4 linked regions of the Oreochromis niloticus genome follow. The protein of the gene in region 1 interacts with the protein of each later gene in a pairwise test. Links are inferred from orthologs where the notes say so. Each region holds a gene or a part of one and is shown in the gene's direction. Other genes may lie near its edges. The genes, in order: tnika, dpysl3, wwc1 and trim2a.

What was found.
Region 2: the proteins of tnika (region 1) and dpysl3 interact in a two-hybrid assay, tested with the Homo sapiens proteins (2 studies listed by BioGRID and IntAct). The link is inferred for Oreochromis niloticus from reciprocal best matches to the Homo sapiens genes TNIK and DPYSL3.
Region 3: the proteins of tnika (region 1) and wwc1 interact in a two-hybrid assay, tested with the Homo sapiens proteins (2 studies listed by BioGRID and IntAct). The link is inferred for Oreochromis niloticus from reciprocal best matches to the Homo sapiens genes TNIK and WWC1.
Region 4: the proteins of tnika (region 1) and trim2a interact in a two-hybrid assay, tested with the Homo sapiens proteins (2 studies listed by BioGRID and IntAct). The link is inferred for Oreochromis niloticus from reciprocal best matches to the Homo sapiens genes TNIK and TRIM2.

Annotation. Positions count from the first base shown.
Region 1 is NC_031983.2:19,800,014-19,807,969, reverse strand, and holds the start of tnika (TRAF2 and NCK interacting kinase a), read left to right. Parts: upstream 1-4,796; 5' UTR 4,797-5,160; coding exon 5,161-5,217; intron 5,218-7,956. Other genes in the region: pld1a (phospholipase D1a), read left to right, coding at 67-291. UniProt on the Homo sapiens protein: Serine/threonine kinase that acts as an essential activator of the Wnt signaling pathway. Recruited to promoters of Wnt target genes and required to activate their expression. May act by phosphorylating TCF4/TCF7L2.
Region 2 is NC_031975.2:21,370,445-21,378,464, reverse strand, and holds the start of dpysl3 (dihydropyrimidinase-related protein 3), read left to right. Parts: upstream 1-4,804; 5' UTR 4,805-4,980; coding exon 4,981-5,019; intron 5,020-8,020.
Region 3 is NC_031975.2:30,434,660-30,441,998, forward strand, and holds the start of wwc1 (protein KIBRA), read left to right. Parts: upstream 1-4,224; 5' UTR 4,225-5,081; coding exon 5,082-5,200; intron 5,201-7,339. UniProt on the Homo sapiens protein: Regulator of the Hippo signaling pathway, also known as the Salvador-Warts-Hippo (SWH) pathway.
Region 4 is NC_031971.2:13,887,665-13,895,940, reverse strand, and holds the start of trim2a (tripartite motif-containing protein 2), read left to right. Parts: upstream 1-4,997; 5' UTR 4,998-5,102; intron 5,103-8,276. UniProt on the Homo sapiens protein: UBE2D1-dependent E3 ubiquitin-protein ligase that mediates the ubiquitination of NEFL and of phosphorylated BCL2L11. Plays a neuroprotective function. May play a role in neuronal rapid ischemic tolerance.

The DNA of each region.
Region 1 (7,956 bases):
TCTCATGGTCCACTCAGAGTGGCACAAACGTGAGTTTCAGTTAATGAGGCATATGTTTGGTTGCAGGTATTTCGCTGCCTTCCTTCATCCCTTATTAGAAACATGTCGGAGCTGGAGCAGTACCAGTCCAAGCCAGGTTTGGCCCAGACTGATCTTGCCCGAGCTCAGGAGGAGCTGCGCAAAATCCGTGGCTTCCTAGTGCAATTTCCTCTGGACTTCCTGTCTGAGCATAATCTCATGCCCTCTGTTGGGACAAAGGAGGCCATGGTTCCAACTGAGATCTGGACATGAAGGGTTTCAGCCCCATTACCCACAAAATGAAATGGACTGTTCCTTGAGAAGACCTCCTGTGGGAAGCCTCTGGGTGGTTTTTCACAGTTTAATGATGATAAATGTTCAGTACTGGAGTCAAAGAGATCACTTCTGAATAATATATTTCTGAGATGAAAGTCAGATTAACACTTTGTCTTTTTGCTTGATACGATTGCTGAGCAATGACAAATCTCTCAGATCTTTTGCTACTGGAAGACACTAGACAGTAGTTATACCTTGTTAGTTTTTGGATGTATTATGTGAAGAACACGGGCATCTATGATAGCAGTGTGACTGCATTCAATATGTGGAAAGACAACATGAAGACTGGGTTTTGGGAATCACTTTATCTTAAATTCTAGATGCTTAGACCTTTGAACTGTGCAAAAAGCTCATAAGATGGCTAAAGCTTGTATGGGACCATGATGATGAAGTCTATAACCAAATAATGACACTAACAGATATTCAGCTCTGTTTAGAAATCACAAAATCTAAACATTAGAGGTGGTAAAATGTGATTAACTGAGTTCTTTATGTACGCCCGTAACATGCATTAGTGCCATGTATGCTGTTTATGAGCTCACGGAAGAGTTCTCTGTTAAGTATGTGCTGCTTTTGATAAATTATTTAAATTTACAAGCATGTAATCTCAGAGGTGTTTTGAAGATTTTGTTTGTGTAAGAAATTGAAGATATGCTTGCTCTTTGCTTTGTTTCCAACTGCACAGAAACAATGTTACCGTTTCGAGAGCAGTGCACAATTTACTAACTATGCTGAAGTCTGATTGCCATGATGCTTGTACCAATCGCACCTCTGAGAAAAAAAAAACAAAACCTCATCACTGACATTTTATTTGTTGTTGAAGATGTTTTGTGACCTGGTAAAATGATTCGAGTGGCTTTTTAAGACAATCGGCGTGTCCATTTAGAAGAGAAATTTCTTCTTTGTTCAGCAGATGGTGCTAGCTTCCTAAAAATCAGTTGCAAAATTAGAAAATAAGATCTCAAGGATCTTTAAGGTCCTCTTGGTAAGTAAAAATGGATTTTGAACATTGTAACAAAAACAAACAGCAAAACTACAGCAATTATGTTTGTCATTAAGCATGCAGATGAAGCTGGATGTAAAGCTTTCGTATGAAGTCAGGCTTTGAAATTGCTTTGTTCCAGTTTCTGTGTAGTTCCAGATTGAAAACAGCATTTCAAAGACTTTATTTTTTTGTTTTTATTGTAATGTAACAGTTCAGAGTAAAATGACCTTTTCTCGAGATACTTGCGATAGGTGATCCACGAGCAGTTTATATATTTTGTAAATGTGAAAATATTGACTCGTGTTACCCAGTTTGTTTTCATTTTTAATATTTTCCACGTTGTCTTATTTGAGCATCACCATCCCCTAAATGTGAAGATAAATAACCACTTCTTTAGAAACTAATCACATAGTCGGTTAATTATGACACATTGGAATCACAAGGTATTTAACAAATCAACCACATAATTACTTTGACCTGGCATAGAGCTCCAGTTTTGTCATGTAAAGGCAGCACCCTTTGTTTACCCAGTGTGTGAATCATTGCCATTTATGTAAGAGAAAATGACTGGGACCACAACATTGGCAGATGTAAAATCAAGTGCTTCTATTTGAAAATTATTTCTCTTTGTTAGTAAAATGATAAAAAAAAACTTTTACATTTTAAACTGTTTTGAATTTGACATTATTGTCTGCTATGTTTATTATTTATGGAGTTTAAAGAATTGAGCATTCTTTAACATTTATTTTTAAATGTATGTCACGTTCACATGGATGATTTTGGACTCGTTTTCTTTTTCATAGCCACCTTGAAGCTGTTCTTTCTGTAAACTCTCTGGACCTCTTGCCTTCATTCAGTTAATGTACAATAACCTTTTTGTACAGTTAAAAGATTTCCGATATCTATCTGTTCATTTGAAACTATGTAATTAAAATGACTAACAAATACGCATATCTTTGAACTTTTTGTTTCCTTTTTACGTGAAAATAGGCACATCTATGAAACTTGATCATTTCTAAGATATATGGCTTGACAGACCAGCTTCAATAATAGGCTCCTGCATAATAATTTCTTATAATGCCTGTGTGACTACATTCCCATCTCTAGTACACGTCAATATGAGTAAAGCAACGGCTCTCGCTCCAACTGTGAAAAAACAGGTAGGTTGTTGCATGAGAAATAAGAACTGTTGAACCTGTTAACCCCCAGAAAACAGCTTCTGCATGGTCGAAGAATGTGAGCAAACATGTATTTCTTTTCTCATGAAACAGTGAAATCAGCAGCAGTTGCAATATGGAAAATAAATCAATATGTTTCATTAACTTTGAAAACAAAAGTTGGGTGCAAAAGCTAGGCTGGAGGACATCTTCAGTTATTTGGGAATATAGTAGGAAAGTCTATACTGTTGTATAAAAGACCCACTGTTTATGAACCAAACATTAAAATGTATATGGAGAATTACAAATTGCTGAACATATATAGTGGAAAGTGGTGAATAATATGCTAAACGATTGTTTTTTTTCTATTGTGAAAAATCACAGGGGCGTTGGCCAGTTGTGTATGTGTGCAATCAGCTCTGCTATAGCAAAAGAAGTACTAACAAACCAATTTGTTGGTTATGCCCATAAGGAGCATAAAAGAAATAGAAAAACAAAGGCTTAATTTTTATGTTTTTCCATTTGAAGGCAGTTGAGTACAGAACGCTCCTCCCTTCTCTCGAAAATGACACTCCATAAAACTCAGGAGGCCTGATTCAGTAGAATGTCGTTGGCTGCATGTTATGGCATGTGAGATGGCCTAGTTGCTTGCTGGTTTAGAAACATTGACACATAAGGATATAAAGCGACCTGATCGGAAATTCAGTTTATTTGTCATTAAGAATTCTCATAAGCATGTGACACAGGTTTTGTGAAGTCATGCATGGCAGTACTCCAAAATGTGACAAGAAAAGCCAAAACAAAAAAACCTCTGATCTGCTTGAATGTTTAAATTCTCTTCAAAAAAAAAAAAAAAAATCAGTTTGAAATAAATGGTGTAAAGCCAAAAACACACAGCTGGAAAATAATTAATTTTCAATTTTCTCTTCCTGAAAAGAGCTCCCTTTCTCTTTCCTTGTTCCTTGTTCGTATTTTTGTTTGGACTTTATGGAAAAAAAAATTCACCTCAAAGCTAAACATACCTTCCTTAGAAAGCTCTTCAGAAAAGGGTATGATGAAAACCACTGAAAAGGAAGTTCCTTTCACAGGTATGTCAGTGTGGAATTTTGTGTTTTGATGTCTTGATGTTTCCATCTGTTTTCTACTGGCATGCTTTTGCTTGCTTTGCCTAGTACTAATAATATTAAACTACACTGACTGAATTTGGATGGAAGTCAATGCTATTTTTACAATGTACTGTAACGTAAATACTTGGAAACTTTTTTCCTCCACACTCAACTCACTCATGAAATATGCGAGAACATCTTATGTTGCTGGTTTGGTTAATGATGATAAACAAAATCCAAGGTTCTTGTTTGACAGAATCAGCAGACTCCTGTGGGACAACCTCGCTTAGCCTCTATCAGGTCGACTGATAACTGCTGAAAACACATTTTTATAAGCGTTCCCTTAATTTCCCCCTTTGCTTTGGGCTATACTTTATAACTATTTGTATGTATGGAAGTGTGTATGTTGGAATGAATGTCTGACCGTACTGTTGATTTAATGTCCATTAATGTGTCTGTATGTTTGAACAGGCATACTTAACTTTAATCTGTGGCTTCTATTGACACTGTGAAGCACTTTGTAGAAAAGTACTATACAAATAAAATTATTATTATTGTTATTATTTTATCAGTAGTAGTAGTATTGTTGTTGTTGTCGTTTTTTTAAAATAATTGATTAATAAATAAATCATTTACTGTGTTTTTCTTGTCTCTTGCTTGCCCTCAGACAAATTCAGGGGAACCTAGAGTTGGATCCAGAGACCAGAGAGGTTTCGTCTTGTCTTTGGTGGAATGAGAATGTTATTCGTTGTTTATCATGTTTCCACAGATTTATGAAAATGCTTCAGGCTCCTAAGTGTAACGGGAAAGGGGTTGCAAGGTAACAGGAAACCTGATAAACAGACACCAGTTCAGTTGCCTTGTGTGTTTACATTTGATGGATTCAATAATTATCTGTGTTTGTGTGTGTGTTGGGCCAGGTTACATTTTTTGTGATTAAAATATACCGATTTTCCTGAAAAAAATGAATAAATAAAGAAAATACACATAGTGTTCTATTTAATCAAAAGTACACAGGGAAATATAAGCAACAATCAGAAAGTATTTCTTCAGTCAGTTTCTTTTGTTTTGTACAAGGACATTGCTATTAAACACGAGGAAGAAAAAAGTTTGGAAGTCCTCGCTGCCTCAGTAAACCCCGCCCGGTAACAGGCGTGGTTTGCTGAGGGAAAGCGGCTCCCACCTCCCTCCTTCTCTATATTTACTGGCTGGCTGTCACAGCAGCTTCTGTACCAGAAACAAATCAGTCTCCGTATTGCTTCACCTTACTCTGTATGGTCTACATCCCGCAGACATGGACTTCCAAGTGTTGATGTACACGGTGCTATCGCTTTCTATCCTCCACGCGTTTGCGCTCTAGCTGTGCGCTCCAGGCCCGAGGAGCGTCCAGCTGCTGACGAGAAAGGGACTGATATTATTTTGTCATCCATTGACACATCACTGTGCAAGAGAGAGGGGGGATAGTAGACCTAGCAGCAGAAGAGACCACACAGTCGTGACAGCTAAGACCGTTTCTGGATATCGGACAACAGACAGTGGCTTTTTTGTGTCCTCCATCATGGCGAGTGACTCTCCAGCACGGAGTCTGGACGAAATCGACCTATCTACTTTGAGAGTAAGATTAATTTACGTTTAATTTCTGTTAAAGAAAAAAAGAGAAAAAGAGTGTGTGTGCGTGTCTGTGTGTAAGAAAATTGATGTGTGCGCTCGCGCGTTCCTCCTTCTCTTGCACCTGACAGTGCTCCCTGAATAACAACCGGCACAGAGCAGAGGAGGCTGCAAAAGGCGGATGTGTGGGAGACGGGCCGCCACAGTGTGTCAAATTATAGATCAAATTATATATAGACATTAACCAACATTACAGCTGGCTTGCACATCTGAAGGCTTATCTTCATTCAAGTCAGTTACCGGAAGGTCGGTGTTGTGTGTGATGCTGAATTAAGGTTGAGGCTGTGATTTTGCTGACCTGGATAGGGGGTGTTGTGTATCTTCTTTCAGTGGGCCAGCCTATTATAGCCTCATCAGAATTGATTCAGAGTGGAATTTAACCTATTTCTACCACACACTGCTGATTCTCGTGGCTTGTGTATTGTAAGAACAGGACAGAAACTGCTTTTAAGTCAAACTCATATCTATCCAGATTTTTTTCTCTCTTGCTGTTCTTCATGGTATTTACTCAGTGTGTGTGTGTGTGTGTGTGTGTACATGTGTGTGTGTGTGTGTGTGTGCAAGAGAGAGAGGCAAGCGTGCCAACCTACCTGTAGTCACTGTAACCTACTCAAAGTCACAACTGAAGCCTTGCATGCTGCAATAGCCAGTTCTTTTGTTCATCCAGTATGTGCTGTAAACCATAATACACACACACACACACACACACACACACACACACACACACACGTGCACACAAACAGACAGGCATACACAAACAGCCTGTGTTTATGTGTGGAGACCCATATTTTCACTTCATTGGGCAGTACGTGTGTTTCTAATGTGTAGGTGTCTGCCAAGCTGATAGTCAACTGCATAAAGCAGTAAGGGATGCTTCAGCTAAAGACCCGTTTGCCGCTTTGAGAAACAAAACCACATCCCTCTTGCTTTGTCTCTCTCACACAGCGCAGTTGTCGTCTGTTTGTGCCCACATGCCATTTTTGTCTCCAGTTCTGTCTTTGCTGGTCTCTTTCTTGCTTCATGGTTTCTTGCCTATTTGTTTCTGCTTCACTAACACCAACTCATCCATCTACCTCCATTCCGTTTCTTTTCTATCAATTTCATCACCTGTTTTTCTATCACCTTGTCTATCTGACTGACTGAATGTACCTCCCTGTCTCTCTGCCAGTCGTTCTGTCTCCTAGCATTATGTCTCTGCGCCCACGTCCTTGCACTGCTTGAAAGAAGAATAATATTTCCAAGGAATTGTGAATCAAGTGTTTAGGAAAATAAGTGCTACTTTTTAGGTTTACGCCTAGCAAAATTTCATCAGCGGGACGAGCTCTATTAAAGACAGAATGGAAAGAGAAATCTGAAAGAAGAAGAGGAGTAGAATAAAACAGACAGAGAAACACTGAAAGAGGAATGAGGAGGCGAGTGGGAGTTCAGCCATGGATGCCTTATTCTTTAGGAGGCAGGATTTCAAGTGTCTGTCACTGTGACTTAGAGGCAGCTTACAAGGACGTGCAAACACATCCAGATGCTCATGTTTGCCTTTACATAGAAGTGCATTTAGGAGTATGGGAATATATAATTATGTCAAATGATTACTACTATCTTAAAAGTAGTGATGAGTTCACAACACTAAGAGCCTTAAAGGTTTTAGGCAAGACCAGTAGGTTAGTTCAAACTTTCATTAGCCTCAAAGCTAAGATTCTATTATTATTGTTATTATTATTTTATTTTATTTATTTTTTTCCTATGTTAGATATTTCATTTGATGAAGTGGTACAGCTCTAAAAAAAGTTTTCATATTTTTCATAAAAATAGTGCTTGAGTCAAAAGATGGAAGTGGAAAAAATAGAAGAGAAAAAATAGAATAGAGATTTCCTACCACCATAATGCTACATTAGGGGAAGCCAGAACCTTTATTTTAATATTTTTCCCCCAAACTATACTCCAGCTATTTCCTTTGTAATATTATGTTGTGAATGTCTTTTGTGATTTCCTCCGTAACTAAGTTACACAACCTGAACAACATGTTCTACAAGCTGAAATAAACAATGATTTCCAGAGAAGTCTTAAACAAACCAAGGTTTGTCCATTCAACATGTACGAACAATACCTATCTTCCCGAGCAATACACACGCGCGCACACACACACACATAGACAGACACACACATGGTCTAAGATGAATTTACAGTCATCCACTGCTGGACTGGCTAGACAGGAAGTAGGTCAGCTGGCTCTGACGAGGTGGGTAGGGTTGAGTGGGGGCTTATAAATACTGGGCTTGGTGATGATGGTGGGGCATTGTGTTTTAAAGTCTATATGAGTGTATGGTTGGGGGGGGTGGGGGGCTGTTCCAGGGCTAGAGCTTCCTTATAGGCACAATGACCATCACACAGACACACACACTCATAAGAGACAGACAGAATTGAGTGGGAAGTAAAGTGGAAAGAGAAGTGGCTTTTCATGTTTGCTGCCTCTGCACTTTTTCCTCTCTTGCTTTGTTTTCATATGCCTTGTCAGGTCTCTGCAACATCTGCTGGTGTGACACATCAACCCTGCGGCACCTGCATAGATGCATCATGTTTCATTTTAGTGGGGAAGGCCAGACTGACTAGAGGCATTCACAGAAATGTTTCTGCTGTGGCCCATCTTACCATGACCCACAATAACCATAAAAAAATATACAAGGTTGAA
Region 2 (8,020 bases), on another chromosome or scaffold:
AGTCTGGTGAAATACTCCTTTAATACTTAACGCTTCTTATATTTATACTACTTATAGTTATGTTACACTTGAAAATCTTTGATACCTTTTCCATTATGCTTAAAGTCCTTACAAAATATTTGGGAAACTCTACTGTTTAAACATTTGCATTTTAATTTTTGATATTGAGAAAAGGTACGTTTGTGTCTGTTATGTGTGATTAAAAATGACACAAGTCTTTCAGCACCATGGAGAGAGAGACACAAACAAAAGCACCACGGAAAGAATCCAGTGCTAAGTAAAGGTAATAATTACTTTATATTAGTGGTTCACAACCCATTTATCTGAATCAACCCAGTAGACCAGACAACACAACAGCATATGGATTCTCAGATGGAATTTTCTGAACTCATTTTATATACTTATACATAACACTTAATTACCCAAAAGTGGAAATTAATTTCTCAGCAATTAGTTTATTTTTTTTATTACTTAACCTCTTAACAAATTAATTCAAGTTATTTTACTAATTTCTGTACTACTTTCAGCTTACCATTGACTCTTAGCCATTACTTCCTACTTATTAGTTTTCTTCACGTAAGCTATTTATTGTCTATTTGAACTCTTTATCTGTGCTATTAAATTAAAAAAAAAATCAGCTGTTGTAATTTAAGCTGGCTATTTTATTGCTTTTTTAAAGATTTGTAATTATTCCTTTTTTGTTTAACATTTCTGCTTTGGTTGCACTCAATTAATAAATTTGAATTTTGTCTTTGGCAGATTAGTTGAGATAAGCTTTTCACATACTTCATGAACTCCTTGTACCCCTAATTGGAATTTAATTAGACTTACTCTCTAACTGTGCTATTTCAGTAAAAAAAAAAAAGAAAGAAAAAAAAAAAAAAGAAGTTGTTTCTGAAGTGTTTCCATATTCTATATTCAAGGAAAGAAAAGGAAACTTTTTTTTTGTAAAAAATACATTGGATAAAGTCAATCCATCAGGACTCTAAATGTATGAGTACTGCTTTTTGCCATAAAATAAGTGTGGGACAAGAACATGCTGATAATATTTGTACGTGTGACCTAGCAACTATGCTAAAAATTCACTTCATCCACTCTTAATTGACACTGGCTTTGAGCAGTACACTCTAGGCACCAAAAGATGATGATTCATGTCTCGCTCTCTGGCTCTTGTTCAACACACACACACACACACACACACACACACACACACACACACACACACACACACACACACAATTTTGGCTGAGAGCAGTAGAATCACTGGACTAGACAAAGTGGTGTGATTACCATTTTGCCATTTAATCACCAGAATGTGGTCATTTACTGGCACACAAGAGTACTTCTCTAAAGCATGGACGGAGAAAACAGATTTTAAAAAAAAAGACCAGGAAAGAGTTAAGCAGATTACACAATAAGCTAATATAGAGCAAGATGTCATAGATTACAGACAAATGGAATCTAATAAAAGTCATTATGGTGATGTCAACTCTAGAATGAAATTAGTAGCAGACCTTGGTAAACATTTTGAAATGATCCCCGCATAGTATGCTTGAGCTGAATTTCAGCTTTAAGGTTTGCTGTTATGTGCTACACAGCATTTAAGAGAATGTGGGGAAGTTTTTAAGAGATTTTCTGATTTTGGCTGCTAATATTTCCTACAAAGATTGGAAAATAATGGGATTGTCTCTTTACAGTTTAAAAACTTTAAAACCACAAAACTATCTGACACAGATTGCCTTTCCTGATGATGCAAGTTCTTCATCTTCAGATTGGTCACTAATTAAAATATGACTGCCTGCTGTTGTTTCTGCTGCACAGGCGGATCTGCACTCTTATTCAACTTTCATTTAACAGAGGCTCGGCAACAAAGCAGTAGACTCACAGACCTGTGTGTGAGTAATGCAAGTAAACTGACTGACGCTGTAGAGCTCTATCTCTTTGAGAACAGGTATTCTACATGCTTTTTTCCCCCACTGTTGCAGTTAAATGTGTTTCCTTTTTTGTTTACACCTCTGTGGTTCTAGTGCTGTTATTCATTCAGTCTCAGACAGTTTGAGACTAAGCTGCTGCACTCTACATTTAAGTCTTCACATTATCCTTGTGATATATTAGATTCCCGCCTTCTGAATCATTCCTGCCTTTAATTGCCCTAAAGTACTGTAAAAAATAAACATAGATTTCTTCAGCGTGGCAGGTGGCCTTTTTCCCTCATGTGGCCTGATACTGAACTGCAATATTGCTGCTCTCAGGGGACCAGATGATTCAGCAGAAACCAGCAGACAAGAGAGTAAGGTTGTGTTTTTGTTTTTTTGTTTTTTCCCCCTCTGGTTTGGAAATTGTTAGAGGACACAATGAAGGCAGGATGTGTTTATCCCTTTGTTATTAACTGGTACATTTAGCGTGCCAGTAAAACTTAACAGCATCCTCGTCTGGCAAACAAATGACGAGTGGAAAAGCTGCCCGTTTGTATTTTTATGACAAATGTTGTTACCCCTCCTTCCTATCTGAGTACACCGGGTTCACTTTGATTTGAACTACAGTAAGTCATGATATTATTGGCACTGTCATGCAAACTCTTAATATCATTCGTTGTTTTGTGGCTATGGTGAACTGAACTGCTCACTATGTGTTCCTGTGTTGTTCCCTGTTTGCTGTAGTAATACTGAACAATAACAATCATAATTATAGATTTTATTGGTTTTCCTCCTGTCTGGTGGGCTAATTAGTGCAGTGAGCTGCTGCAGTGGAGTGAATAATGGAGACTGGCTAACCAGATGTCCAGAGAGAGAGGAAATGCCCCCAACCCCATCTTTTTTTTTTTTTTTTGTGATGTCCTGCAGGGTGGAAGTCACATTGACACATGCATTCACAAAGCATAAAACTATACATATACACTGACATGTAGGCTTGTCTAAATTAAAACATGCACACGCGTGCCTCTTTAAGCTGTCACAGAGATACTCTAGGAACAAATGAAATAAGCACTCTACTAATGTTGCATATAACATTCAGTTTAGTCTTTATAATCAGCAGATAGAAACAGATGATGTCTGTGCCTCCCTCTGGTTAAGTCTGAAAAATAACTCTAATTATATTGGGTGCAGCAAAGAGATGCTGTTGTACCATAAATATATTCAGTGTTTTGGGAGAATGAATCATAAAAGGGACCAAAAATAAACACTAAGAAGAATGCTGCTTCATATGTCTTCATATCGGTCAAGACTAAGCACCTGATAGAGCCTTAAATGTTTAGAGTTAAGCAAAATTTTAGGAGGTTTAATTCTATGTTCTGCGTAACCTCGTTGCTTTATCCTCCCCCTGCATTTTCAGAATTGTCCCACTGCCACAAAACAACTCTAGATGATTTAGTCTTCTTCAATTCGCCAATGTCGTCTATATAAAGAGATCACATAGTGGCTGAGGTGGTCAGCATGATTGTGCTCGTGGGTAAACTGATAATATAATTTTATATGATTGTTGGGTAGTGAACTGGAAGCTTCTCAGTCCATTCACTGTGGTGTGAAATGTGCTCCAACAGGCTTGATGACCTGACAGAGACTTTTCTGCATCCCTGATCTGTCTGCACCCTGTCTGTCTGTCAGTGTCAGCCGGTTAATGTGGTCTGCAGAGGTAGCAAGCCTGCAAACTTGAGTGTGTAGCGCTGATGCATTCTCCAAGTCCTGGAAATGCTGAGGTAATGCCTTTCTGCCTCACTGCCATGAAAGGACATGCCAGGATGAAGGCCCTGTGTCTGCTTGTAGCAAAAAAAATGATTTAAACCCTTAGTTTTCTACAACAATTGGATATAACTGTGCTGTAAAGCCTTCCTACATTACTCTGTAAAGCAATGTTTTTAAAAAAAAGACAAAATGAAGCAAATGAAAGTATGATATATATATATATATATATATATATATATATATATATTATAATGCTAGTGTAATATAGACACACAAATTGGCACACCCTTTGTCACACACCTGCTCCTACATCCATGTCACTCTCAGGATCTCATTATGGCTGCATTAGAGCTGAGGAGGGGAGTGGCAGAGCGAAGAGGGACCCACTTTAGGTTCAAACAATGGAGACACATGGCTGGGTGGGAACATGCAGAGAGAGAGAGTGTGTGTGTGTGTGTGTGTGTGTGTGCAATGTTACGGGCAAGCTCTGTGACAGCTGCCACACCATTTTGCTCTTCTGTGTCCACCAAAACAAAACACACAATCTCCTGGTTGTGACTGATATAAGGTCTACAATTTCAAAGGGAATATTTTTTTTCTTGCCAATAAACCTATTTAGGAGACTGGCAAAAATTTAAACATCCAATATGTATGATTAACACACGGCAGTGAGGCCAGTGGACATGTTTAAAATAAGTAAATCTTTCCATTACATATTGTTTATAATAACGATGGTGATTTCTATCCCGTGTTCCTTTGTTTCCTCTTAGTTCTGCCAATTTTCCCCTAATCAATCAGACCTTAGTGACTTCAGCCGTAAACACACAGGCTCAGACTACACCACAAACTAGTGCGCCTCAAAACCAGCTGCTTCAAGGACTTTGCTATTTCTGAGGCAAGAGGCATCTCGGATAGGTCAGTGATGACAGATATTGGATACGCAGCACACTTTATGTAAAAAAAAAAACAAAAAAACAACGTGTGACAGCAGTGTAACGCAAAGAAGAGGATGCCGGCTGGAGGCTGTTCACCAGCTTCTCCACTGCGCCCTCCGGTGGAAAGATTGTGACATCACGCTTTCCAAACTGAGCATACTGAGGGAGGGGCCGTGTGCCTGGACCACAGACGCTCCCATAGCACTCTGCGAGCCACTCCACATCGCACAGACAAGAGGGGCGACTATTCCTTGAAGCTCCCATCCAGGCGAGGGCCGCTGCAGCATCCATAAAAGGGGGAATATCGCTTTTAAAAGCTCGGTATTTTTTTAAAAAAAAGAAAAGGTGGAATCGGACAGAAGATGTCTTATCAAGGAAAAAAGAACATCCCAAAGATCACAGTGAGTAAAGAGTTATTTCTGCTTCACTGGCTGCAGGAACTTTGATGGCTGCTGCTTCAAATCACTGCAGAAGGTTTTAGCGTTTTTTTGCGCCGCTGCGATGGATCTTTATCACATACACCGGTGCAAGCCCAGAGCAACATGAAAATGCTCTTTCTATTGTCAGAGCCGACTGCAGGAAGCCGCTGGAACAATGCGCACAATGATATGGCATGTCTGGCTACCATAGTGACAGTCAGGCAGGGAGATAAGGCGTTTTCTTAAAGGTGTCCTGCATCCTCTTTGTTGAAGCGATCCATGCCGTTGTGCAGAACGGATACCGGCTCGCCCATTAAAAAAAATCACTGTAAGGTTTATGCAGGGAATTCTGCTCTTCAGTGCATAACGGAGACTTTATGGTGATTTAAAATATGTAACTCATTCTTATATATTTAGAATAATGCAGTTAATTAGATTTATTCCCCTACACTCCACCTAGATTTACAGCGTAAAGATATTAGAAGAACGTGTCCAACCCTTGTGGGGCTTTTTAAGGCCCAGATGGTCTTGTTCATGGGAGGATATTGAACAGTAATGTTGATCTCATTTTTCGAATACCCTTCTTGCCATTTTGGTGCACAGTGATTTAATGACATACATAAAAGTATCATGGCACATTCTGGTCACAATGCCCTGGATGCTTGCAAATTAGTGAAAAAAAAGGAGGAGGGGGGGGTCCTAAAAATAATGGTCACTTATTATACATTAACTCATTGTTTCTCTTGAAGCCCTTTATTGTTTTATTGCAGAAAAAAGCCCTCTCTGTGATTTCATAGGGGGGGCCTCAGAAATCATAGACAGGGTTTGTCTTTCAGGCTGGTGCAGCAGCAGAGAGTGAGAGGGACAGGAGGAAAAGAGAGGTGGGGGAAATACACGCCCATCTGTGATAAGCTGGCCTTGTGAAGGGGCGCTTGTGTTTCTGCATCACCACAAGGAGAAAGATTCAGGGTTGGCTCAGAGCATTCAGGGTGGAGCGGGGTGGGGGGTTGAATTCAGGGCAGACTGGTGTTACACAGCCAGCCAGCTGGGTGTTGGTGTGTGTTACAACTGCAGAGGAACCTCTCCCTCTGCTTTTTTTCTTTCTGTGTGTGAGCATCTGAAACGCCTGTTTTCCAGCTCTCATTGTTGAAGCTCAGGCTGCAGTTCGGGGTGTGTTGCTCAGATGTGGGAGACTTTGCCTTATTCTTATCTCCTCAGCTGATTGTACACAATGGGAGTAAACTGAGGGATTTTTTTTTTTTGTAAATGTTATTACTGTAAAATTAGGAGATGAAAATACGTGAAAATAGTGAAGGCATTTTTAGAAGAGCTGGTAATTTGAATGGCAATAGTGTCTAAAGAAAATGATGTTTTGTAGGTTTGAGGGTTTTAAACATGCAGAGGAAATGCTAATTGTGTCAAAAATACACACACATGCAGCAATAAAGTAACAGCAAAAGTAACATGAGTAAGCTACACTGGTTCATCGCCTCAAGATATATCATATTTGGTTACTGAGCTTGCTTTTTTGTGGATTTAGAAAAGCTCCAGTTGTAAGCAGCATATTAACACAGGCTGACAGAAAGTACCACAATACAAGTTTTTCATGGACGTCCTAAAGCTGCTTCATGCTGTTTCAGTTGAAGGGGAGTAATTTATGATGTAAGCAGCCACACTTTTCACTGTTTTATGAATTTAATTATGGTCTGATCTCAACATATGGGTGACTATTCCAACAGTATTTAAGTGCTTTTGAAAAGTGATTTGAAACAATGTCTGGGTCAACCACTGAGTGGGTTCCTCCCAAATCTGTTTGCGTCCAGTTGACAAGGTAGGGTGTACTACGTTCTTTCCTACATCCAAGTTATAACCATAGCCTCTAAGGGTGTAGGGAAAAAATCAGTTTGGCATATTGGATTATTTTGTGTGGCGATATTGTATAAAAAATATTGATAATATTGATATTAATAAATGAATAAATAACAAATACTTGAAAATATATTAGTCTAACAACAAGCGATGACCCTGGGCCCCAAGAGGGCTCGTCTCCTGCACCATCATCCTGAGACAAGGTTAGTCGAGCAAACTTACCATAAATTGGACACACTTAGCTTGACAGAGTATAAAATTTCCACTTGATCTTATTCAATTGCAGACTCATGGCAGACTGACTCCATCTTATGGCAACATTTATGGAAGGTTTTAGTGACAGTGTTGCTTGACAGTTTCATTTTGGAGCAAAAAACCCCTCCCCAAAAAACGATGTCGATAACTTTATGTTATTGGATAAAACCGATATTGACAAATTCTTACTTTGAGGACATCATTTGCAGTTGAAAAAAGGTGATAAATTGCAGTAGATGTTATTGCAATACTGAGCTTATCACCAAATGTTAAAAATTGCAATAATATTGTATCGTGAGTGAAATATTGTGATAATCTCATATCGTCGGGGGTCTGGTGAGTCCCACCTCCAATAACTTTATGAGAAATGTATTTTATGTCCAACAATGTATGGACTAACAACACATGTTGTTGTTTGATTTGGAGTTTATGGCAGTAGTGATTCCCCTCCAACCATTTGATCAGCTTCTTAGAAATGCAAACACACAATACTTGCATTATTGGTTTATGCACATGCAGACAAGCCAGGAGAATTGAAAGTGTCACGTTGTTTCAGTAAAAGCAGACTAAAGCAAGAACCTCTTGTTACAAGCACAGACTGTTGTCTTTGTCTTTTCTGTATCTAAACCATAAACATGTATATAAAAGATGGCCATAACCTTCTTGTCTGAGAACTAAAGCCAGTACGGAGGAACTTGGATTCTTTGTTATAGCCAACAAGGGCCGAACTCTTGGGTTACAAAATGAGGTCATACTGTATAGAAGTTTATGAGGAAATGATCCCATTGCTCACATGAGCCACTGGCCTCTCCTAATGAGTTTATGTTCTTCAGCACTAGTTTCAAGTCTTATTAAAATT
Region 3 (7,339 bases), on another chromosome or scaffold:
TATTTAATTTTTAACATTATTTTAAAATAGTAAAAAGAAACTTTAAAAACACTAATTATGAATTATTTATAAAGAAAATTTACATTTTATTCTAACAATCTTACTGAATTACTAAATGAATAAATACTCTTATCATGCTGTAGAATTTCTTAGATTAATATTGATTTAATAACATCGAATCACTGCACAATATTGAAACAGTCTCTCCTACTTTTTTTTTTTAGAGTAAAACTTATTTATTAAAATTAACTCATTAATAAAAAATGTATTCATTTATTTCCAACATTTCAGAAAAAGTATTGCAATATTGTAGCAATATATTAAATTATATTACAAATGTTGATATTATAGCAATAATTATTACTGAATTCATAATTTATAGTGATGTGGAGATTTTTAATTTTATTCAAATATACTTTAATTTTAATTTATTATAAAAATAACACATATTTAATGCATATTGTCAAAATAACATTAAATTAAATCTGTTATTCATTTTTTAATGTTATGACCTGTACAGAACAACCTTAAGGACCTAAATAATTGTTTTATTCCAAACAAAATGAAGCCCTGAACACAGCTCCACATGTGTAAGGCCGCCGTGTGTTCTCTTTAAAACGTGCTTAAATCAAGTGACATTTAAACAACAATACAAAACCTTAATGTCTGTGTCATCTCCATAAATCCATCTCTAAAAACATGACCTTACATATGTGATAGGTGTTTATAAACTGTAATAAAAGTCTTCCTCCATGTACAGTCATCTTGCTTGTTTTGCAGATGTCTTCTGCAAAACAAGCAACAAGAAAAGCAGCAGTACCCCACAGTGATGTACCCCACAGTGAAGTGCACTGTGGGATTTACTGTTGCTGTAACCAATTACAATAACATTAAAAAGAAATATATTTCATGCTTCACTTCAAATTTAGTGGATATTTTATTCCTCTCATATAAAACAATTATGAAGGGAAGTACAGTGTTTGAATATTTCCTCCTGAAAAAGCAGCACAAATCTAGCAAAGTGCTTCATTAAGAAAGCACTGAAGCTGAAAACACGTCTGTTAGTGAGGGCGTTTTCTTTTTTTCCACAGTAACAGAGGCTTCATGGAGGCCTGATCCTGCATCCCACAGCAGGCACAGCTTTATTCACTGCTTCCTGAATACAGCAGTGCCAAAAGAGTGACACAGCAGCCGGGATAATGATGGAGAACCAGCGCCGTTTTCCCCTTTATAAAAGGCCAGTAGTGATATAAACCAGTTTAAAATAAAACTAAATAAAATGAAAAATACAAAATAAAATAAAAATAAAATGCAATTAACCCAAGACAGCAGTCAAAGTGATGTTTATTTTCTTTTGCAAATCAGTAAATCTAAACATAGTTTTAGTTGAATATGAGAAAATATTTTTTTGTGACGTTATGTTCTAAGTTGAAATCTTTGTATAAGTTTTTGTTGTTCAAATTTAGATGATGAGGAAATGATTAAGATGTAAACATAAGGGGGTAGGGCTAAATAAGTATATACTTCTGCCTACTCCTTTTTAAACAACTGCATGGAATGATATTATGAAATGTTGGTGAATGTATATGTTTGAAATAAAAATGAACTGAACTGAACTGAAATCTGTGATAATAATAATAATGATAATCATGGGTAACAGGTATTAGGGCACTAGTTCTGGGTCATATCTGCTCATTCTAGTGATTTAGACGACCAGATTAGTGCAGTGGGAGCTAATGTGGACTTTTTCCTACAGCGCTTGAAGGCATCAGAATTGTAAAATGTTAGGATGTTTGGGTTTCACTGTCAAACACAGCAGGTATTGATGTTACTGTGCAAAGCTTGGTGCTATATAAATATTCAAAAATTTGCGTACTGAACTGCAGCTCTGTTTGCAAACAGAACATAAAACATTGATATGCAAATGAATTAATCCAAATCTTTTGATTGGACATAGTCCAAAAAAAAATATGTCACATGATGTTCATTATGAATTTAGCAACAGCTAAGCAATAGAAAACTGTTGTTTAATTTGTTTAATGCTAAAAACAAACAAAAATTAAAATAACTGATGATGTGAATTAAAACCATGACTGGACATGAAGAAGAGCTTCGCCCAGAGTTTTTACAGATAAATATAGGGAGGGTTTCAGCTCTCTGTGGAAGACTGTGCATGATTCATTCATGGTACATAAAGTCGTTAAGATTCAGAGAAATCTTCATACACAAGGTTAAAAACCAGGCTGTGAGCCTCAGGCCTTCAGGCAGCACAGCACCAAAGACAGAAATGTGGTGATTCTGTGGTAGAAATCAATTTCTTAAAAACACGTCAGTGAATGCAGCTCATCACTGCGTCCTTCAGTTTCACTTGAATCTCTGTGAAGGAAAAACAGAAACAAGGCCGCGAGATAAACACTGCCGTGAAATTCAGTTTGGAAATCGTGAACATCGTGTTCTCAGGGCTAAAGAAGAGAGGAACCTTTCAGCTGGAGATTCAGTTAAAGTCAATTTAATTCTGAGAAAACCCCAACAATCAGATGACTCCTATGAGCACACGCTTTGGTGACAGTGGGAAGGTAAAACTCCCTTTTAACAGGAAGAAATCTCGGGCGGAACCAGGCTCAGGGAGGGGCGGGGCCATCTGCTGGATAGGATAAAGAGATGCTTTGGAAGAGAGCCAGAGATTAATTATAACTGATGATTAAATGTAGAGAGGTGTATAAAAACACAGTTAGTGAAGAAGATGCACCCAGTGCATCATGGGAAACCCTCAGCAGCCTAAGCTTAATGCAGCCATGCCGGTAACATCTGCACTATGAAGCAGTTTCACTCTTTGTTCTTGACGTTGGATTCTTGTGTGAAGAAATATCTGCACGATGGAAGAATCTGCAGGTGATGATAACCATCACTTCTCCCAACCTATTCAGCACTGCGGAATATTGACCTCCAGGGGGCGCTGTGGGCTTGAAAGTTTGGGCAGGCTGGGAGGTTTAACTCTGTAAATATCTGCTAACAAATAAGTGAATAACATTTAAAACCAGGCGTTATGAATAAAACACTAATGAATGAGCCACAAAACTGAACAAAACTTTAAGTATCACCATAACTCACAGCCTACAATGAAACTTTCTGTCAATAAAAATAATAAAAGTTATAAATGTGGAAGTTTATCTGGGTATTTTTGTTTTGTTTATTTGTTTGATTTAATTTTTTTTAGACCAAATAATTTAAAAAAGTACAAAACAGCCAAAATATAACGGTTAAAATTTACCAATAATAATAATAGTTATTGTTACTATTAATATAGTAATAATAAATAATAATCCATAAATATCCATATAATAAAAAATCTAAAATGAAATAGGTTAAGATAAGGACTTTTTTTTCAAAATTCTGAATGGATTCTTACTGTTGTAGTAGAATAAAAGTATAAATCATAAATAAAATTATACCACAAACTATAGAATATGCATAAATGCATAATTTGCATTTAAATATTAAATTAAGGTAGAACAGCAATGCTTCCATAAAAATAAAAATAATTTAATGAAAACAGAGTTACTGAGATTTGAAATTTTTGTTTTTGAAGTTTTTGCTTTCAAAATAATTCACTTTGATTCACTTTACAGAGTAGATTTGCTAGTTTTGCTAGTTTCAGGTGGATGTTTGATTATTATTTTTAATTATGAAAGTTGTTTGTCAGGAGCAAGATTTTGGAAAGTCGGAACAGCTGTTTGAATAAAAACACGCCACGTGTGCATTTCTATTTTACTGTAGGTTTTATTGTAAGTTCTTTCCACACTAAAGGCAAGTCTTTATTCTTAGTGAATTTTAATCTTGTTTGTTACTCACTTAACTTAAGTGAGTAACTTAACTCACACCTAGTCTTGACTTTTTCAGTTATAGCCTTTTTAACTAACGTTTAGCTATAGTTCACTACAACATTCTCTTTTTTTTTAAACATAGATTTTGTTAATTTTAGTGATATTTCAATACAATAACCAAAAGTATTTACATTTAATTTTTACCATCGCTATAGGCCTTTTACTATGTTGTGTTATTCATAGAACCCTGTATATTTTATTCTTCTTCCTCCTGCTTTAAAACAATAATTTCCCTCATGGGATCAGTAAAAGTACTTTTCGGATATTGTTTTGCCCGGAAGTCTTATTTTGTTTCCTGGAGTTTGTCAACAAATGTTTTATTTTGAAACCGGAAATCGGGTTGAGTGGCTGCAGTTAGCTTGATCGGTTCGAGCGAAGTCATCGGGACCGAAGAAGACTTTACCGCCGCCGCTGCCGCTGCCTCCCTCTGCCCGGCTTTCACCGGAGGATTTTTACGGGATAACAAAGAAGTTCTTCGGCTATTTAGCGGATTTTAACGGCTGTGGATTCTCCCGGTACTTTTCTCCTTTCTCCAAGCGGCGGGCGGACTGTTCGCTGTCCCGCAGGCTGGAGGCTAGCGTCGGTTACTGCGGCTAAACATGGTGGCCTGTAGGCACGGAGAGGAGCCGAGCCCCAGCTCTGCGGGTTTGGGGGTGTTTTAAAGGAACGCGAGGGCGTTTTGGTTGCTGCTCCACCCTTTTCTAAGTCTGCGCTTTGTTAATCTGGAGGTTTCTACTGGGCTCCCCGTGTGTTTCCGTTAAACCCGAGCAGCAAGACCACCGGCGGCAGCAGGACCCCGTCCGTGTTCGGCGGAGCGTGGATAATCATCCCGAAAAAGTTCTTCCAGGCCGCCTCAAAGTTTGCCATCGGACCTGGGAAACTCCAGACCGTCCTGGACACTCCTCCAGCTGCTGTGTTTACGTTACGGATGCTTTGAGGCTCTCACACCGGGATGAATTGTTGCACAAGTGCAGCCTGATGAAACAGTTTGTTTTACCCCCTTCCTCCTCCTCCTGTTCAGGGTCTGATTGTTAATCTGAGGATTATTATGGATTGTTACCATGGCCTAATCCAACCGGACTCTGAATTTGGGGACTAACTGCAGATGTAGAGGCTGACTGTGATGGTGATGATGATGGTATCTCTTCGCGATGATTCTGAGTAGAGAGGAGTTCATTACATGGAGACTCGCCTGACATGCCGAGGAAGGAGTTGCCACTACCTGACGGTTGGGAGGAAGCCAGAGACTTTGATGGCAAAGTTTACTACATTGACCACATTAACCAGTGCACGAGCTGGATCGACCCCAGAGACAGGTAGGACTGCGTGAGAACAGGTGCCGTCGACCTTTGACCTCTGGCAGATAGTCAAAACACATACATGTGATAAATACATGCCGTGTTAAAGGCTCCATTCATGCGGTAAACGAGGTGGTGTGAGCCTTTTAGGCCAAACATCGTTGTCTGTTCATGAAGTCAATACAGAGTTCCACACCATGTTTGCACTGAAGTACCTTGATATGGATTTAATGTGCAATATTTAAACCTGCTGAAGAGGCTTTTCTGTTTAGGGAACTGTGGCAGGTAAAAGCCAGTCACACTGACCCCAGTAATACCTGATTTTAGGGACCTTGTTCCCAGTTTTCTGGCAGGTTGTTATTTGATAAGACATCATAGTAAAATCAGTGGTAGCAGGGGATGGAGGAGAGTTGGTATGAACCTTCCAATAAAAGAGTTGCCCAGTGGCTGACCAACGGCTAGAGACCGCCATCGGCAAACCTCTGCTACCTTGCTTTGATCACCTGCAGTTTGCTTGGAGGACGCCCACTCATTTGCAAACATTCACCAACTAACCACCAAGCAATTGCATAGAACCTCCCAAAACTACTCGCCAACTGGTCGGGAATACTTTATTTTTCCCTAGCAACCGCTGGTTACCAGGGAAACACTGACCAGTCGGTTTCACAGCAACCACTCACAGCTGGATGGTGGAATACTTGTTATTTCCTAGCAACCGGTGGTTGCCGGGTAGTCTCCAGCTGGTGTGACTGAGGTGTGAATGAAATGGGTGGCTGCTGGAGTCGTGGTGGGTGAAACAGAAGGTAATGGCTACCTGATGAATCCGCATCACAGGTGTGCACAATAATTAATTAATTGCAGTGAAAGCCAATCACCTGTGTGAATTATTATCTGTAAATTAGAGTGAATGCATTTTATGTATATATATATACTTTGGTAAGTATGGGAAAAACTCATTTTTACCCAGTAATGGTGCTTTTATTGCTGCAGTGAGGCGGCTGGAAGCTAGTGAAGTATTTTTGAGCTCTTGGCAGCCTGAACATGTTCATTTATTAATGTTTAATCAGACCACCTAGACTGCTCTTAAATAACTTTTTAGCAACGTTATTATTTTTGGCATCTGGATGGTTTGTCATTTTGTGTTTGTAGTAGATAATTTTTGATATCTCGCTAATGATTAAACGGGTCAGTAATGAACAGCCAGTCCAGTGAGGTTTGTTCCTCCAAATAACTCACTCCAAATACCAGTTTACCTCTGGGTGAGGAATCATTCCTTCTCTCGGGAATAATCTGAGGATGGGAACCTCGAGCTGAGTGTGTCACAGAGCAGAAAGCCTCATTCAGTTTGTTAACCTGTCATAAAACCTTGGTTATCTCACAGCTCAGGATGCCAGAGGTGCTTTCTTGTTTGCTCGTTTACATTCCTGCTGTCAGGCGTGGAGGTGTGTTACCTGTTCTTTTCTCCTCTCTCATAGAAACCATCAGTGTAATAGGCTTAAAGAGGCGAGCGTGACACGGCCTCGTATGTTCAGATCGCCACAGCGCAGAGGGGAGGGCGGGTTTTCACTGGATTTTTCAGTCTTACCAGTCACTTAAGACCCCTCAGACTTTGACACCAAATCCCTTTAATGCCTAATGTCTGGAAATCTCAAGGGTTGTTTTTTTTTTCTTTTCCGGGTGACAGAACCTGGATTCTTTCCCCCCAGTGTGTTTGGTTTACGTTTGTCGCTCCGTTTGACTCCTGATTTCCACATTTTCCAGCTAAAACTACAAGAAATCAGAAGATACAGGAGCCAGTGGCCATCATCATCATCAGTAAGAGTATTCCTCTGACTGCTGCTGAGCTCTGCTTTGAGTTCATTTGACCACGTTGTGCCTGAGAAGTGGTCGTGCTTCCAGCTGTCTGATTAAAATGAGGATGATTCCATCTTGACTCCATCTGAACTGAGTCCAGAATAATCTGCATCCAGATTAGTTTGTGATATTTTCTTTAGAACATCTTTAGAACATCTGCCTGTTTTTCTTAATCGAGAACATTTGACTCCCAGAATCATTCCAAACCTCTGATAAAGTTTCCTGTAAGTAAACGGACTCAGAAAATGCCTCTGGGGGGAGGGGCTGACTCTGCATGGAGGCATGATTCGTCAGAAGTCTGTT
Region 4 (8,276 bases), on another chromosome or scaffold:
TCTCAATCCCTCCTTATCCTGCAGCTCAGGGCGACACCTGAAGAGCCAGCTCCTGACTCTCACTGCTGCAGGTAGTAAAAGTCTTCTCCCTGGTGAAGGTTAGCCCGGTTAGTCAGAGAAGGTCTAATCATTCCTGGGTTTGGAAGGGTTGTTCAGTGGACAGAAGAACAGCAAACAAACGCTCTCCTTTATATTAACGTCATGAAGCAGACACCTGGGATCAGACACAACAGGCGTGGTCCCGTACAGGACGAGGACTGAATCAGTATGCCTAAGAACGGAGTGAGTCGCAACCTCTGTAGCCTCTGCATTTTTACTGCAGCAGTTGTTTCTGCAAGTAAGAAGTTAACATGAAGTCTTAATATTTGCATTTAGTTTTCTCTGATGTTAAGCATCAAAAGCCACAAATGAAGCTGTAAAATGAAAATCACCTTTGGGAATTTGGAGCTGATGCAGGGTCATCTGCGGTTTGATAGTTTACTTTTTTAACGTCATGTGTTATTAAAGTCAGAGCTTTACTACGCTGCCCTGGTGATGACCTTACTCTGTATCACTTTAAAGGACATGCTGTCACTGCTTATTAGTCTCCCTCCATCACTGTGACCTTTAAATAAGCGTGTGCCTGTAAATGCTGTCTACAGCCCATAACAACATGCTAGGAGTTTCATACTCATGTACTCATACTTACTACACCCTCAGGGATTACCTGTGATTACAGCACACAGATTAGCTGCCGGTTTGGATGCAACTGCTCAGATTTTTGAAAAAAATAAGTGAAGCAATCAATGACCCTATAAATACAACCAGTGGGTTAAAAGTAAGTCGGTAACAGAGCGAGCGAGAGTCAAGAGCTGATCTGAGTGGGGCTTTCTTCTGTCTTCAGATCTTCATTACATGAAGATGTGGTGAAAGTCAAGCCCCCAGACTGACCTCACAGCACAGAGAGGAAGTGCTCCGGAGAGAAGACTGGAACAGAAACATGAGGTGAGGGTGTTTTTCATTCACTGATATAAAACATCTCCCTCGTGTTAGTTTACTCAACGCTTTTCAAATGATGTGCTGCAATAAGACAAGACAATCTTTGTGTTTATGAACCAACGTGATATTCGGACCATATTACCTTGTGAGTCACTCAGTTTTTTAAATTCTCCTTTAGTCCCTAAATTGCAGTCTTTTACACTCACCAGACACTTTATTAGGTACAGCTCGATGTTACTGGGTTCCCTTTTGTGGCATAAATTCAACAAGGTGCAAGATGTCTGCAGCATCACACAGTTGCTGCAGACGTGTTGGCTGGATCGGACATGTTTAGCAGCAATACTCAGGTGGGCTGTGGTGTTTAAATGATTAGCAGCTGGTAAGAAGCGCTTTTCTGGTGTGAATTGTAGCCTCAGTTTCCTGTTCCTAGCTGACAGGAGTGGCACTCGGTGTGGCCTTCTACTGCTGTAGGTGTGCCTTCTTAGTCGCTTGACACAGTCTGGCCATCCTTCTCTAAACTCTCACATCAACAAGGCATTTATGCCCAGAGAATGACTACTGACTGGATATGCTTTGGAGATGACAGTGTGGGAAAATCTCAGCAGACCAGCTCATCTGACGTGAACAACCGTGCCACATTCAAAGCAACTTAAATCACCTTTTTTGCCCGTTCTGCGGCTCGGTTTGAACCTCAGCAGGTTGTCTTTACCACGTCTAGGTGCTGCCCTGTGATTGTCTGATTAGATATTTGTGTAAACAAGCAGTAGAACAGGTACCTAACATAGGTGCGTGTATGTATTCTGTTTCAAGCTTTTGGTTTTACTACACCACAAACATTTTGCTGTTCTTTAGTCTTACTGTACGTCTTGTCAGTATCGGTAGATTGCCTGGTAACTGTGCAGTAACTTCAGTGTACATTTGCCTGCAATAACCTGCAATGATGGCCAAATTAAAGCCTCACGCTGGGCATTTGTAATGTCTCAATCATGTGTTCCAACAAACAGCATGAATGAAACAAAAGAAATGTTCAATTATTCAGCAGCCATTCACAGAGCCCTCTGCTAATCCGGCCATGCTCCACTGAGCTAATAACAGCAGCAGGTGCGGGCAGCTGTGACCGGTGTGATATGAAATTATGGTCAAATGGTAAAACTCCAGTCTGGCCTAAAAATAAAAAGCACTCTGCCAGAGCATGGCCACACTCTAGTGTGGACTTTATTTACTGTTTCTGCTCTCCTGTGAAGATTTGATTTTAAAATGAATCAAGCTTTTTTTCTGGTGACATCAATCGATTCACATTTTTATGCCAAGCTACATCTTGTTGTGTTATTTGAAAACTAATTCAAGCTGCTGTCGTGACTCTAAACCAAACACTGAAAGAACCAAAGCAAATCAGCCGTGGAACTGAGTGCATGGTGTTTTTAAGGTTTAAGTTCTGAAGTAATTGGACTTTTCGTAAATATTTGATGTTTGTATGGCCATGTCAGCGCCTTAATATTTACTTTAAAGATTAATGTTAGACTTTTTCAGTCCATTATGTGCATTTAACACCTTTATTTTACTTTTGTGTACTTTTGGTGTAGATTTAAGTAAATAAGAATTAATATAAAAATAAATGCTGGTTACTGCTGATGCTAATGAGCTTTCGCTCACGTACTCTGAATGTGAAATTTTACATGCACTGGTGTGCTTTTGTGTTCTGGTGCCTCTTCAGCCTTTATTAAAACTCTTTTTAGGCTGTCACTGTACCGCTTTAGCTGTGAGGAAACAGAGGTGGGATGCTGAGAAGAAAAGGAAATCTTTGCACTGGGCCTGTGATTGTGCATCGCATGCTAAACAGGTGCCCTTTGACTGTGGCACACACACACACACACACACTGCCTGAGTTTTCTAAAATAGTAGTGAGGCCTTCAGATGCGTCACCCTTCCCCCACCTCTGACGCACACCAGACAATAAACGCTACACAGCCTGTTCCTGCATCAAACGCAATCATTAATGGAAAAGGAATGCAAATAACGCGATTCTTTCTTTCTATTTAATCTGAAAAGAGTCTTTCATGGGCGGCTGCATAATGTAGAGTTGCCATGCAACAGCCTCCCGCATAAAAAAGGGAGGGGCTTGACAGGAAACCACAATTACGACTGGCGCTTGGACGCCCATCAGGAGTCCTACTAGAAGCTGGAATTATACGACCAGCTTACATTCTTTTTAACTCAATAAAAAAAAATCTTATCTATTTATTGATTGATTGGATAAAAAAAAACAACATCCAATACAAATCCATCCATTAGATTTCTTAAACCCTTGTCCTGTTCAGGGTCAAGGCATGGCTCAAGCCTATCCTTATTGTATGAAGAGCTGGGAAAACTCTAGACAGTTAACCATGGTATAGTTAAATATTAGCCCACAGACAGCTTAGTTTAAGCCATCTTAGCCTAATTTAAAACAAAATGACAGCTAACACGAACATATCTATTGTTATATCGCCTGCTGGTTTTGGACTCTGCATTTCGAAACCTCAACAATGGCCCGTTAGTGTTTTGTGACAGACGTGATAACATTTGAAGGAGAGCAGGAGCTAGCAAGCATAATTAGCAAGCTACACCCATGACCTGCAGAGGTGCCATGCACAGACACATAGTTGGTTACTTATGGAGGGCCTCGTTGGCCGAAATGAATGAATTAAATAGAATTCATTTTGGCACTCTAGGCCCTCCGTAGTGGTTCAGTACCACACTTAGAGTAGACTAATACCAGAACTTTACTCCTTAAAACTTAATCAAACTTTGCGGCTGGTCTGTAGCGCACACATAGCCCTGACATAAGTCAGATAATTCTATAACAAATGCTTCAAATGGCTCCAGCAGCACAAACACTGTGAAGTTCACTTAAAGTTCTCCTCACACAGAAAACTATCCTACAGCTGTCTGTGTTTGCATACCCAGCTCCGAATCCAGTTATTAAAAAAATCACTTCACTTCTCTGCAGACTTGTGAAGCTACCCGCAGAGACCAAAATCCCATTTTGTATCAGACTGTAAACTTGTTTGTTTTTTTGTTTTTTTAATTCTGTAAAGTTAAGCATTTTAAAATAGGATTGACTCACTAATGGATTTAGCCTCAAGTGGCCGCTAGAGGAAATGCAGTTTATGACACTCCATATTTTAGCTCCAGTGGTCACTTGTCTGTTATCTGGTGAATAAATAAAATAGGGTCACCTGTAAAGTTGAATGAATGAATAAATAAATAGAATATTCAATTAAAAATCTATATAGTGCCAAATGACAACAGCTGACTCAAAGGCTTTATATTGTAAAGAGGCTACAATAATAAATACGGATGTTAGCTAGCAGTTGATGGACGGCTGACGATTTAAAGTTTGTTTGTTTGTTTAATTTTTTTGGCTAACTGTCCTTTGTTTTATTTATTTCAATGTATTTTTTCATAGTTACTTTAAATATTAAATTACTAAATGTGAGATGTTTGCCTCAGAGAGTGTGTAAGGAGGGTTTTTTTTGCCACATGACAAAACTACGTTAGCTTTTAACTTACCCGTGCTTCCTAACTTTATACTAAACTATAACCACTGGTATTTCTTACCTAAATAACCCTAAAACCCCGGTCAGTCAATGTCTTCATGCAACTTTTGGCAACGAAAATAATTATTTTATTATTGTGTGTGTGTGTGTGTGTGTGTGTGTGTGTGTGTGTTTAAATTATGTAGAAAGCCTACTTTTCTCTTAAATGTATTGTGGTATTAGGCCCGATTCCCAAGTGATAAAACAACAATAAATACTACAAACAGTTTCCTCGGTGAGCCACAGAAGTACCAAACACTGAAGCAGAAATAGAAATAACTCTTTGACAATCGGTTATTTTTACACGTGAATGCATTATTGATGAGTTCAGACTGCCTCCGGATGCTGTTGCCTTTCCCTTTTATTGTCAGCGGATCCCTTTAATAAGTGAAGTGGAAGTGAGTTGAAGTGGCTCTCGGTTCAGCTGTAGTGTGAGCGCAGAGCAGCACGGAGCGGAGGACGGAGGGAGCTTAAACGGGAAAATCCCAGCAGATGACGATAACTGCTTGAAACATCCTCAGTTTCCGCGGATAAGTCTGCCTTTAGGTAAGTGGAAAACATCAGCTGTGTCTGAACCAGCTTTAGGATTTGGCTTAACGCAGTCAGAGCTTCAGAGGATTCACATCTCTGTGTTAAAATGAAATGCATCCAAACATATAAAGTGCAGATGTCCAGCTGCTGGTTTAAGAGCGCAGGTCTGCAGCGGGACAACAGCGTGCCTACGTCCGCATCTTAAATCTGCGAAAACTTGAATGAACCACTGATGCGCTTGTGGTGAGTGCTGGGGAGGAAGGATCGCATGAGTTCCGAGGCATTGTGGGATTTTGTTTGGCGTTTTCAGCGCGTGTGTTGTCTGCACGTGTAGTTCTCTGTGAGTATTTACAGTTTGAACTTCAGGCTTGATCTTGAAGTTTAGCTGTCACAGCGCAGAGTCTGGCATGAGTAACGCTGTAGTCGCCGCACTGCACCTGATTCTCTGCTGCTTGTGACAAGCTGCTGTTATTTCTGCAGTGAAACGTGTCTGACCGTCGGATTCATTGAGAAGTCATCTGATTTTAGCAGGATTCATTAAAAACACTGAGATGAGAGCATTTCTGCAGATTCGGATGAGTTAGTGATTTATTTAAATAAAAACAGTAACAGTAATTTTTCAGGGAATAAATGAAATAACTAAATCTTGAATTGACATTTTGACACCATATACACCTGGTTGAACGGTTTATACACTGTGTGTTGATTTTAGAAATTAAACACGCTAATAAGTGACCCTTGGACTTGTGCTCTCCCTCTGCAGTCAGTTTACAGATATAAGAAACTTGAATTGAATACTAAATGAATCCTTTGATCAAAGGTGACCAGAGAAGTCTTTGACTCTGTTACACTGATGGGGTTTTACATTAATTTTGGGAGTTTCTACGACATTGCCATCATTATTCACAGTGGACTGTCTCAATGGCTCATCAGCAAGCCACATTCATGTCATTGTCATGGATTAAAGTGTGATTACATAAGCCTGCCCTCTCTGTCCACTCCTCTCTCTTATCCTGGCTCTGTGCGACAGAGTCTTTGATGTCCGAGCAGAAGTTTTCCTATGGCGGGCTGTTCTTTCTGTTGTGACATCAGAGATGCTTCAATGCAGTAAATGGTTGTGGGAACAAAAAGTAGAAAGTGGTGTGGTAAGGGCTGCACAATTCTGCCACCGCTGCAGTGGAGCATCATCCTCGTGCTAATCGGGAAGTTTTGGAAGGAAGGGATTCATCTTCAAGCTTCTTTTTCCCATCATGTGACTAAGTGGCACCGGAAGCCACGCGTGCCCATCCATCACATCCCACCTGATCGTGAGCTGTTCTGAGCCTACCTCATCGTTTTGATTCAAGTTGACATTAGTCTCATCTGTCCAGAAAAGGTAAACTGGGAAATGAAACGTGTCATCTGGACTTTGTGTTCTTACGTCTGATGAATAGTTTGTTGAAACCTCTGTGATTATTGTTGTGAATTCTTCTCTTCATGGGATTATTATGTGCCTAATCATATAAAAAGTGAACAGTCTTTAGTGAAATGTAAAATGCATTTTGTCGATAAACGTGTTTAATCACTCGTGATATTTAAAGAATAGTTGAGGTACGTTGTCTTGATACGCAGTGTGTAGTGTCAGCAGTTGCAAAACACTTATTTTCCCTCAAATCCACCCCTCATTCTCATCCATGTCAAAGAAATTACTTATTTATTACTTATTAAATTACTTAGAAAAAAAACTATGAATAAGCAATAAAGTAGCACACACCTAATAGCAAGTTACATGACAAAACATCTGTTTAGCCATAAATATATAGAAAATTTTAAGATCATTTGCAACATAGATACTCATTAAGGCAAATGTAGCTTTGTTACAGTATCAATCAGCAAATAACCCTGATATCGACTGACATATTTTTCCATTACATGTCGGCTGGTGGTGTTAGTATTGATGTTTTTCTCGTACAGTGACTAAAACCCCCGAAGGCTTGCTGTTCTGCACTGTTGCACTGTGACATTGTCACCCCTCAGGATCAATGGACCCAGCTCTCTGAGCTCTGCCAGAGCTCAGAGTCTGTGTGGTTAAAGCTAAGTGATTAAGCTAGAACAACAACCAGCTTAGTCACTCTTTACTCGGTAGTAGCTCTGAGTGTATCTGAATCATTTCTGTGACTGCAAATCAACAGGAGAACGAAGGACTTCTGAGTGACATCGTTTTTGAAAGGGCAAACAAACACATTATAGATTATGTACATGAAGTGTGTTGGTGAGCCTATTATTAGTGCTGATGTTGCATGGTGTGTCCACCAGGGGGCATGCTGCAATTTTCCGCACACAACAACTAACAGCTAATCCGAGCAGATTCAAGCGGAGTGGGAATGAGTAAATAAATAATTACACGTACCAAATGATTGGAGAATCTGTTTATGTGTTATAAACAGGTTCTCCAGATTCAATACATATTTAATTTTTAAATTACCAAATATCGGTATTTGTATCGGTCATAAAAATCCTTCTGATCTGTTTCTGATCCAGCATGCAAGACTTAACACTATCTTTTGGTCATCTCCAAATAATGAGGACCTCTGAGGTAATACTACAAGTTAAAGGCAACGCATATTGTAGTTATATGTGCATGTGCATGTGAAAACCTTTTACTTACTGTCTTTGAACATATTTGCACAGAGAGGCATTCATACCATTATGAGCATTAAGGCTGCAAACATATATATTTTGGGTCAAGGGTATTGTTAGTCACAATACAGGATACATAGGATACAATAGTGATGACATCATACGTCTTTCTTATCAAGTCATGGACAGTCCCCCCCCCCACCCTATCATGTGACCTATTGAGGTCACCTGACGCAAGATGTGAGTGGAGGTTGAAAGGAAGGGAGGAGATCTTAAGACTGCAATGTAAGAGGAACCTGAACCAGCCTAATAACTAAAATGAACACGTGAGCTTAGAGATGGTCTGCTTAAACTAATTAGGTAAATAAACTTAAAACTGCTTTCTGGAGAGCAATGTAGACAAAACATTAATCAATCAAAATGGGTTATTCATAGCAAGTAATAATCATCTTAAATTGTTCTTTCACTTTTCTTTTCTTTTTTGTTCAGTTTGAGTAAACAGTATTTAGCATGCAATGCAATGAGCCATTACAGATTCAAAGAACAGTAGTTACATCGCATTTCTTCTTC